Saccharomyces cerevisiae S288C: one gene and its partners. The protein of the gene in region 1 interacts with the protein of each later gene in a biochemical or structural test. Each region holds a gene or a part of one and is shown in the gene's direction. Other genes may lie near its edges.

Region 1 (3,467 bases):
TATGATGATAGCAGGGGCAATCAGTATTTTCATGGCTGGTAAGTGGGGAGAATTATCCGATAGAATAGGAAGAGTGCGTGTTTTCAAATACATGAGCGGCATCAGGGTCATAGGGCTTCTTACGCACGTCTTTACCCTATCATCGAAAATGAAGTATCACAAATGGGCTATTGTTCTTACTGCGTGTATCGTACCATCATTCGGTGGCTTGTTTGCGCTAGTGGCGAATGGAAATAGTTACGTTTCAGATATAGTGAAAACTGAGCACAGAATGGTGACAATAGGAATAATGATGAGTTGTATATATGCCACTATGGGCGTAGGCCCAATGTTTGGGTCCTTTCTGGTGAAGTGGACTCATGGAAACGGGTTCATTCCTATTTACACATCAATAGCGTTTGTTATACTGGCGCTTATAATATGTGAGACAATCATGGTGGAACCGCGCCATGAAACCCAAATGGCCCATTCACAATCAACTTATACAAAGAGGAGAGAGAAACTAAGATCACAATCGGGTTCTGACGATGCAAGAAATTACCAATCCGTTACTTATGGAAAATTTCAAATAATGAGGTTAATGGACCTGCTCGCTCCAGTAAAAAAGTTATGGCTGAAGCCCGACAGTGCAGGGTCTTTAGTACCCCGGCATACCGTAATATTACTCATTGTACTCGATATACTATTTGTCTGTGGAACGACATCGTGTATGCCAGCATTGATTTTGTTTTCTACATATGAGTACAAATGGCATGCAGTAGAGCTAGGTTATTTCATATCGATACTGGGTATCGGAAGAGGTGTTGTGTTACTGGTCGTATCACCTACATTACTGTACACGCTAAAGAGGATTTATCAACACTTGAACCATTCGATAGACAAGATAGACATCTTTTGCATACAGTTTTCTATGATTGTTATAACACTGAGTCTCTTTGTCATGATACGATTTGGCGAGAAAACTCCCACATCCATGATAATATTCGCTCTTTTACAGGCATTGAGCGCGTTTTGTTCACCAACTTTGCAGTCTGGTATCATAAAGTACACCTCTAAGAAACATACAGGCGAGATGTTCGGAGCAATGGCTTTGGTAAGGTCCTGTGTTATGCTTGTCATCCCTCCCATCCTCCTTAAGCTATATGGAAGTACTGTCTCCGTTAATCCTAGTCTGTTTATGTATATACCGTTCTCAACAAGTATTGTTGCCATCTTGTTGACATTCTTCCTAAGAATTTACAAGAACCCTCCGCTGGACGGGCCTTAAAAACATTTACATACCGTATACACCACATATTTTTAGTTACTTGTTCGAAGCTGTGCTGCTATTCGTTCTTGCAAAGCCAGTGTCCTAACGACTTTGCTTATGACATGATTCAACATAGTGTTGTTGTGGTTTTTTCTACGTAATCATGATGATCTTTTTTTTCGCGCTATTAGGGGGGAGGGAAGGCGGGATCTGGTAAAAGTTTGACATAATAATCAAGGGGGATATCGTATCCCTTTACTTGAAAACTTGAAAAATATTCATCTACTATCTCTGGCCAGAAAAACGTGAGAATTTTTAGGTGCGAAACATCATAGAAGCTGCGATTGTATCCATCTAAGAGTTTTAATTTGATAAAGCTAAGGAATCTGACCCTATACTTTTTTTTTTGTTTGGCTTGCTTGCATTTTCAATCGGCTTCAAAGGTAGCACAGAAAGTAGTGTTCTCTTAGCTTAAGCAGTGCATGAATTATAGCTGATTGTGTGAAAGAATCTTTTTTTTGGGTATGTCGACTGAAGAACAAAATGGAGGTGGTCAAAAGTCTCTAGATGATAGACAAGGTGAGGAATCACAAAAAGGTGAGACTAGTGAAAGGGAAACAACAGCCACAGAGAGCGGTAACGAAAGTAAGTCTGTAGAAAAAGAGGGTGGAGAAACCCAAGAAAAACCGAAGCAGCCACATGTCACTTATTACAATGAGGAGCAGTATAAACAGTTTATTGCCCAAGCGAGAGTTACAAGTGGGAAGTATAGTTTACAAGACTTTCAGATATTAAGGACACTGGGTACGGGTTCTTTTGGTAGGGTCCATTTGATTAGATCAAGACATAATGGCAGATACTACGCCATGAAAGTTTTGAAAAAGGAAATCGTGGTAAGATTGAAACAGGTGGAGCATACCAACGACGAGCGATTGATGCTTTCTATCGTAACACATCCGTTTATTATTAGAATGTGGGGGACTTTCCAAGATGCTCAGCAAATTTTCATGATTATGGATTATATTGAAGGTGGAGAATTGTTTTCTTTGTTAAGGAAATCCCAAAGATTTCCCAACCCAGTTGCTAAATTTTACGCAGCGGAAGTTTGTTTAGCTTTGGAGTACTTGCATAGCAAGGACATTATTTATAGGGATTTGAAACCGGAAAATATCTTGCTTGATAAAAACGGGCATATAAAGATAACAGATTTCGGGTTTGCCAAATACGTTCCTGACGTCACATATACATTATGCGGTACTCCCGACTACATAGCACCCGAGGTCGTTAGTACTAAACCATATAATAAATCTATCGATTGGTGGAGTTTCGGTATTCTGATTTACGAAATGCTAGCAGGATACACGCCATTTTACGACTCTAACACGATGAAAACCTATGAGAAAATCTTGAATGCCGAATTGAGATTTCCACCATTTTTCAACGAAGATGTAAAGGACCTGTTGAGTAGATTGATCACAAGAGACTTAAGTCAAAGACTAGGTAATTTACAAAATGGTACAGAAGATGTCAAAAACCACCCCTGGTTCAAAGAAGTTGTCTGGGAAAAATTATTATCTAGAAACATAGAAACGCCGTATGAACCGCCCATTCAACAGGGACAAGGTGACACCTCACAGTTCGATAAGTACCCGGAAGAAGACATCAACTACGGTGTTCAAGGTGAAGACCCATATGCTGATCTTTTCCGGGACTTCTAATGACTAATGTTTTGTTGTATTTTCCTCTCGTATCTATATTTTTTTTTTTTCATATTTTTTTCCCTCTTTTCTACATAACAACTATCCTTCGAAAACGAAATTTCAACCCCTGTATAGTTACTACGGAGATGGAACGGCGTTCACTGTTCTTGTAGATTGCATACATGATGTTATCGAGGCGTATTCCTACCATTAAAAGGGCTTTTATTCTACGCTTCTGTCTTTGATTTTCTACTTTGCTCGCCGCGCCACTTTCGAAAGCTTGCATCATGAAATGAAGGATTTTGCATATCGATTTTTTTTTTACGTGAGCCCCTTGGTATAAACCAAATAAAGGGCAATTGGTGGCTCCAAACAAGTCGGAATCTCCATTCTATACGTGTATATTTTAGGAAGCATTATAGTCTACGAAAAGATCCATTCTTTCCATCCATTTACTTTTAGAATACAAAGGAGATAGAGAAACTTGCTAAATAAAAAAAAAATTTTGAAAAAATAAA
Region 2 (4,366 bases), on another chromosome or scaffold:
CAGCTTTCTAGCGAGCTAAGGAATGTATTCCAAATTTACTGCTCCTTTATTACGTCAAAAATTTCTATAGTATTCGATTCTCATTAGTAATTATAAAGGAGTAGCGAGAAAAACAAAAATAAAAGGGCGGAAACATAAAGATGGTAAATAAGACAGAGAATATTACCCGGAAACATACTACGAGATTATTGAGCTAATCTCCATGCACCAAAGTGGTTAGACATTTGGCTACATTGACTACTGCAACAATTACTTGAACCCTCTAATCCTTCTTACATATCTATTCATATGTGATTTCACAATGCTACATAAGCGTTTTTTATATAATTAAAGAGCAACTTTTCCTCACAGTAGATAAAAATATATATGCACGCTGTAAAGGAAAATTACATTAGGAACAAAAAAATCTAGACGCAAGTAACAAGCACATCGAAACTAAGCCTTTTTGTTGATTTCTTGAGCTTTTTCAAATTCTTCTTTAAATTTATCAGCATTTTCCTTACTGCCAAATCTGATAGCAAAAGTGAAGGCTTCTGCTTCACCTTCTGCAATATCTGCTGTACAAGCATACACCCAAGATCTATCAGAACCAACGTTAGGCTTCAAAGTGTATTCTGGAGCAATGATGTGGTTAGCACAAATCTTTAAGGTCTTGTCTCTTCTCATCAATATTCTAACCTTGTTAGTCTTTTTGTTCTTCAAGAACTTACAGTCACCAGTACCTCTTTCTTTCCATTCCTTGGCATCGGCATCGAATCTGAAAAGCTTGGCTCTGACCTTGTAAAGAACTTCTTCGTCTTCTTCCATTGTCTTAACATCTACCTTTTCCAGGTGAACCACTGGTTCAAAATGGATATCTGGTGATTCTGGAGCATCATCACCTTCCTTCTTGGTTTCCTCCTTGGTATCTTCTTCGTCTTTCTTGGTTTCTGGCTTTTCGGCCTTCTTACCACCAAACATGGAGAAGACAGCAGAGGATGGTGGCTTTGGAGCAGCCTCTTCCTTCTTGTCGACGACAGGTTTCTTATCTTCGCTAGACATTCTTTTTCTATAGTTGTGTTTATCTTCTTGCTTTTATTTCAAATTAAACAAGATCTTTCTTCTTTCTCCAATTGAATATCAATTTCATCATCAGATTTTAGTTTCTGTTTTATTTTTTATTTTTTTATTTTTTTTTTGTTTCTTGTTTTCCGCGTACTTCCCGCTGGGCGAAAAAAGAAATGAAAAAAAGAAACGACAGGAGCATCGTGTAGGACGAAGCCCCTTATCCCCTAGTTACCGAAGAAGGCCACCAATCTTAAGTTTGATAGAGCAGTACTTATATAAGGCTATATATAGACTGGTTCACAAGGTTATCAATATGAAACTTGCGCGATCACCGATTTACGGGATTTTTCAGGAGCGAGGTACAAGATTTGTTGGCCTGAAAAGATCGCAAAACATTAGCTAGAAATTTTCCCCCTATCGTTTTCCGTAGAGTAAATATAATATCAAGAAGATAGTTTTATATTGACTGATTTCACAACCAACTGCATAGATATAAGGAGATTACTAGATACAAGAACGCCTGATAAACAAAAAAAGAAAAATTAACAAAAAAAATCAGTAGAATGAGTCAAGTTAATACAAGCCAAGGACCGGTAGCCCAAGGCCGTCAAAGAAGATTATCATCACTAAGTGAATTCAATGATCCATTTTCGAACGCAGAAGTCTACTATGGCCCCCCAACAGACCCAAGAAAGCAGAAGCAGGCAAAGCCCGCTAAGATCAACCGTACGAGGACTATGAGTGTTTTCGATAATGTATCTCCTTTCAAGAAAACTGGTTTTGGTAAACTTCAACAGACTAGACGTGGTTCTGAGGATGACACCTATTCAAGTAGTCAAGGTAATCGTCGTTTCTTTATCGAAGATGTCGATAAAACACTTAATGAACTACTGGCTGCTGAGGATACCGATAAAAATTATCAGATCACCATCGAGGATACCGGTCCAAAAGTTTTGAAAGTCGGTACCGCAAACTCCTATGGCTATAAGCATATTAATATTAGGGGTACGTATATGTTATCCAATTTGTTGCAGGAACTAACTATTGCGAAAAGTTTTGGTAGACACCAAATTTTCTTAGATGAAGCTCGTATAAACGAAAATCCCGTCAACAGATTATCAAGATTGATAAACACACAGTTCTGGAACTCTTTGACCAGGAGAGTTGATCTGAACAACGTAGGCGAAATTGCAAAAGATACCAAGATTGATACGCCGGGGGCAAAAAATCCAAGAATCTATGTTCCTTATGATTGTCCAGAACAATACGAATTTTATGTTCAAGCTTCTCAAATGCATCCATCTTTGAAATTAGAAGTTGAATATTTACCAAAAAAAATAACGGCAGAATACGTCAAATCCGTCAATGATACCCCCGGTTTACTAGCATTGGCTATGGAAGAGCACTTCAATCCTTCTACTGGTGAAAAAACTCTCATTGGTTACCCTTATGCTGTTCCTGGTGGTAGATTCAATGAATTATATGGTTGGGACTCCTATATGATGGCACTAGGTCTCCTAGAAGCCAACAAGACTGATGTTGCAAGAGGTATGGTGGAGCATTTTATTTTTGAGATTAATCACTATGGAAAAATATTGAATGCTAACAGAAGCTACTATCTATGTAGATCACAGCCCCCATTCTTGACTGAAATGGCCTTGGTAGTATTCAAAAAACTTGGTGGTAGGAGTAATCCCGATGCTGTGGATTTGTTGAAAAGAGCTTTCCAAGCAAGCATAAAAGAGTACAAAACTGTTTGGACCGCATCTCCAAGGCTTGATCCCGAAACAGGCTTATCCAGGTACCATCCTAACGGTCTCGGTATTCCTCCGGAAACTGAAAGTGATCACTTCGATACCGTTTTACTACCATATGCATCGAAACACGGCGTTACCTTAGACGAATTTAAGCAACTTTATAACGATGGTAAGATAAAGGAGCCTAAATTGGATGAGTTTTTTCTTCATGACCGTGGCGTTAGAGAATCTGGACACGACACTACATATAGGTTTGAGGGCGTATGTGCCTACCTGGCCACTATTGACCTGAATTCTCTTCTTTACAAATACGAGATTGATATTGCAGACTTCATAAAGGAATTCTGCGACGACAAATATGAAGATCCTTTAGACCATTCTATAACAACTTCAGCTATGTGGAAAGAAATGGCCAAAATCAGACAAGAAAAGATTACCAAATATATGTGGGATGACGAGTCGGGGTTTTTCTTTGACTACAACACAAAAATCAAGCACAGAACGTCATACGAATCCGCAACTACATTCTGGGCATTATGGGCTGGACTTGCCACGAAGGAGCAAGCACAGAAAATGGTGGAGAAAGCACTACCCAAGTTAGAGATGCTTGGAGGTTTAGCTGCATGTACGGAGCGTTCTCGAGGCCCAATTTCTATTTCGAGACCAATTAGACAATGGGACTATCCATTTGGTTGGGCACCCCATCAAATTCTTGCTTGGGAAGGCCTCCGTTCTTATGGTTATTTAACTGTAACGAATAGGCTAGCTTATAGATGGCTTTTCATGATGACAAAGGCTTTTGTCGATTATAATGGTATTGTGGTTGAAAAATATGATGTCACAAGAGGAACAGATCCTCATCGTGTTGAAGCAGAATACGGTAATCAAGGTGCTGACTTTAAAGGGGCAGCTACTGAAGGTTTTGGATGGGTCAATGCCAGTTACATTCTTGGTTTGAAGTATATGAACAGTCACGCAAGAAGAGCGCTTGGTGCTTGCATTCCACCAATATCATTCTTTAGCAGTTTAAGGCCTCAAGAAAGAAACCTCTATGGACTATAGTTGAGATAATATATATATATATATATATATACTCCAGGTACAGTCCTCTAGGTACCTAAATCCTCTTTATATGATCTGCCGATAGATAGTTCTAAGTCATTGAGGTTCATCAACAATTGGATTTTCTGTTTACTCGACTTCAGGTAATGAAATGAGATGATACTTGCTTATCTCATAGTTAACTGGCATAAATTTTAGTATAGGTTAACTCTAAGAGGTGATACTTATTTACTGTAAAACTGTGACGATAAAACCGGAAGGAAGAATAAGAAAACTCGAACTGATCTATAATGCCTATTTTCTGTAAAGAGTTTAAGCTATGAAAGCCTCGGCATTTTGGCCGCTCCTAGGTAGTGCTTTTTTTCCAAGGACAAAACAGTTTCTTTTTCTTGAGCAGGTTTTATGTTTCGGTAATCATAAACAATAAATAAATTATTTCATTTATGTTTAAAAATAAAAAATAAAAAAGTATTTTAAATTTTTAAAAAAGTTGATTATAA
Region 3 (3,788 bases), on another chromosome or scaffold:
TGTTTTAGGCACTTAGTATTAGATATTCCTAAGCCTCCCTCACCATAAATTACCTTTATTACTTGCATGACTATTATTAGCAGAGCATGTAGTATGGGACTCAAGACCGATATGATACACACCAAAGACGTAGGCACCGGCGATTAAATCAAAGGCTCCGATAGCCGAAAAGTGAGAAGAAAAAAAAAGGAAAAAAAGGAATTGTCCTAATGAGCGGTGTGGCCGACTTGCCATAATATCAGTTAGGGCTACTATCAATGTTTTATCTACGTTGGAGTAAGATCGTTTATCACTTCCATATTTGGACCAAATGAAAAGTTCAATCGGCCAAGTATTTCATGGATGGAATGACGTTTGGTAAGGAAGTGCTTTTTCTTTTTCCACATATTTTCCCTTTCTCTCGGGGAAATTTTGTTTCTAAACATAAAAAATAAAGCAACAGCAAAAAAGAGGGTCTGTCCAGCGAATAAGAAGAAAACCTCCTTTTCGGCTTTTGAAGATAGGTTGCAGTTGTCTGCGGGCACAAAATGGGCAATTTTTTTAATACTTTTTACGTATGAGACAAGATTTTTTTCGCCAATTATATCGCATGAAGAATAACCAGAGTTTTTCTCCGAACGTTAAGGGAGTTGAAGTAAAAATAAAGAAAGGACCAAATGAGAATGGGTATGCTTGGTCTTAGTCTTCGAATCAAATTCTGCTTCCCTGTTCATGGCAACGTCACCTCAATTATTTGGAAAGGGGGGGTTTTCCGACTTTATTTGAGATGACTTGAGATGTGTGTCAATGCTAGTATTTTGGAGATTAATCTCAGTACAAAACAATATTAAAAAGAGGTGAATTATTTTTCCCCCCTTATTTTTTTTTTGTTAGAATTGATCCAAATGTAAATAAACAATCACAAGGAAAAAAAAAAAAAAAAAAAAAATAGCCGCCATGACCCCGGATCGTCGGTTGTGATACGGTCAGGGTAGCGCCCTGGTCAAACTTCAGAACTAAAAAAATAATAAGGAAGAAAAAAATAGCTAATTTTTCCGGCAGAAAGATTTTCGCTACCCGAAAGTTTTTCCGGCAAGCTAAATGGAAAAAGGAAAGATTATTGAAAGAGAAAGAAAGAAAAAAAAAAAATGTACACCCAGACATCGGGCTTCCACAATTTCGGCTCTATTGTTTTCCATCTCTCGCAACGGCGGGATTCCTCTATGGCGTGTGATGTCTGTATCTGTTACTTAATCCAGAAACTGGCACTTGACCCAACTCTGCCACGTGGGTCGTTTTGCCATCGACAGATTGGGAGATTTTCATAGTAGAATTCAGCATGATAGCTACGTAAATGTGTTCCGCACCGTCACAAAGTGTTTTCTACTGTTCTTTCTTCTTTCGTTCATTCAGTTGAGTTGAGTGAGTGCTTTGTTCAATGGATCTTAGCTAAAATGCATATTTTTTCTCTTGGTAAATGAATGCTTGTGATGTCTTCCAAGTGATTTCCTTTCCTTCCCATATGATGCTAGGTACCTTTAGTGTCTTCCTAAAAAAAAAAAAAGGCTCGCCATCAAAACGATATTCGTTGGCTTTTTTTTCTGAATTATAAATACTCTTTGGTAACTTTTCATTTCCAAGAACCTCTTTTTTCCAGTTATATCATGGTCCCCTTTCAAAGTTATTCTCTACTCTTTTTCATATTCATTCTTTTTCATCCTTTGGTTTTTTATTCTTAACTTGTTTATTATTCTCTCTTGTTTCTATTTACAAGACACCAATCAAAACAAATAAAACATCATCACAATGTCTAGATTAGAAAGATTGACCTCATTAAACGTTGTTGCTGGTTCTGACTTGAGAAGAACCTCCATCATTGGTACCATCGGTCCAAAGACCAACAACCCAGAAACCTTGGTTGCTTTGAGAAAGGCTGGTTTGAACATTGTCCGTATGAACTTCTCTCACGGTTCTTACGAATACCACAAGTCTGTCATTGACAACGCCAGAAAGTCCGAAGAATTGTACCCAGGTAGACCATTGGCCATTGCTTTGGACACCAAGGGTCCAGAAATCAGAACTGGTACCACCACCAACGATGTTGACTACCCAATCCCACCAAACCACGAAATGATCTTCACCACCGATGACAAGTACGCTAAGGCTTGTGACGACAAGATCATGTACGTTGACTACAAGAACATCACCAAGGTCATCTCCGCTGGTAGAATCATCTACGTTGATGATGGTGTTTTGTCTTTCCAAGTTTTGGAAGTCGTTGACGACAAGACTTTGAAGGTCAAGGCTTTGAACGCCGGTAAGATCTGTTCCCACAAGGGTGTCAACTTACCAGGTACCGATGTCGATTTGCCAGCTTTGTCTGAAAAGGACAAGGAAGATTTGAGATTCGGTGTCAAGAACGGTGTCCACATGGTCTTCGCTTCTTTCATCAGAACCGCCAACGATGTTTTGACCATCAGAGAAGTCTTGGGTGAACAAGGTAAGGACGTCAAGATCATTGTCAAGATTGAAAACCAACAAGGTGTTAACAACTTCGACGAAATCTTGAAGGTCACTGACGGTGTTATGGTTGCCAGAGGTGACTTGGGTATTGAAATCCCAGCCCCAGAAGTCTTGGCTGTCCAAAAGAAATTGATTGCTAAGTCTAACTTGGCTGGTAAGCCAGTTATCTGTGCTACCCAAATGTTGGAATCCATGACTTACAACCCAAGACCAACCAGAGCTGAAGTTTCCGATGTCGGTAACGCTATCTTGGATGGTGCTGACTGTGTTATGTTGTCTGGTGAAACCGCCAAGGGTAACTACCCAATCAACGCCGTTACCACTATGGCTGAAACCGCTGTCATTGCTGAACAAGCTATCGCTTACTTGCCAAACTACGATGACATGAGAAACTGTACTCCAAAGCCAACCTCCACCACCGAAACCGTCGCTGCCTCCGCTGTCGCTGCTGTTTTCGAACAAAAGGCCAAGGCTATCATTGTCTTGTCCACTTCCGGTACCACCCCAAGATTGGTTTCCAAGTACAGACCAAACTGTCCAATCATCTTGGTTACCAGATGCCCAAGAGCTGCTAGATTCTCTCACTTGTACAGAGGTGTCTTCCCATTCGTTTTCGAAAAGGAACCTGTCTCTGACTGGACTGATGATGTTGAAGCCCGTATCAACTTCGGTATTGAAAAGGCTAAGGAATTCGGTATCTTGAAGAAGGGTGACACTTACGTTTCCATCCAAGGTTTCAAGGCCGGTGCTGGTCACTCCAACACTTTGCAAGTCTCTACCGTTTAAAAAAAGAATCATGATTGAATGAAGATATTATTTTTTTGAATTATATTTTTTAAATTTTATATAAAGACATGGTTTTTCTTTTCAACTCAAATAAAGATTTATAAGTTACTTAAATAACATACATTTTATAAGGTATTCTATAAAAAGAGTATTATGTTATTGTTAACCTTTTTGTCTCCAATTGTCGTCATAACGATGAGGTGTTGCATTTTTGGAAACGAGATTGACATAGAGTCAAAATTTGCTAAATTTGATCCCTCCCATCGCAAGATAATCTTCCCTCAAGGTTATCATGATTATCAGGATGGCGAAAGGATACGCTAAAAATTCAATAAAAAATTCAATATAATTTTCGTTTCCCAAGAACTAACTTGGAAGGTTATACATGGGTACATAAATGCAGATGCCAGTGAACTATGTTCAGCTTCTGGCCTTCGTTTGGTGGTTTAATCTATTTTTTATAAAAAATGACGCGGGCAGATTCAATTAGTGTCCTAAAT

The links. The genes of interacting proteins can lie anywhere in the genome.
Region 2: of the proteins of TPK1 (region 1) and NTH1, one has a biochemical effect on the other in vitro, tested with the Saccharomyces cerevisiae proteins (6 studies listed by BioGRID, with this or other methods).
Region 3: of the proteins of TPK1 (region 1) and CDC19, one has a biochemical effect on the other in vitro, tested with the Saccharomyces cerevisiae proteins (4 studies listed by BioGRID, with this or other methods).

The regions. Positions count from the first base shown.
Region 1 is NC_001142.9:109,466-112,932, reverse strand, and holds TPK1 (cAMP-dependent protein kinase catalytic subunit TPK1), read left to right. Parts: upstream 1-1,773; coding exon 1,774-2,967; downstream 2,968-3,467. Other genes in the region: YJL163C (uncharacterized protein), read left to right, coding at 1-1,267.
Region 2 is NC_001136.10:449,720-454,085, reverse strand, and holds NTH1 (alpha,alpha-trehalase NTH1), read left to right. Parts: upstream 1-1,610; coding exon 1,611-3,866; downstream 3,867-4,366. Other genes in the region: Ran GTPase-binding protein YRB1, read right to left, coding at 436-1,041. UniProt on the Saccharomyces cerevisiae protein: Hydrolyzes intracellular trehalose to glucose. The disaccharide trehalose serves as a storage carbohydrate that is mobilized during nutrient stress. Regulates the level of trehalose as a protectant for cell integrity during heat stress.
Region 3 is NC_001133.9:70,001-73,788, forward strand, and holds CDC19 (pyruvate kinase CDC19), read left to right. Parts: upstream 1-1,785; coding exon 1,786-3,288; downstream 3,289-3,788. Other genes in the region: YAL037C-A (uncharacterized protein), read right to left, coding at 3,426-3,518.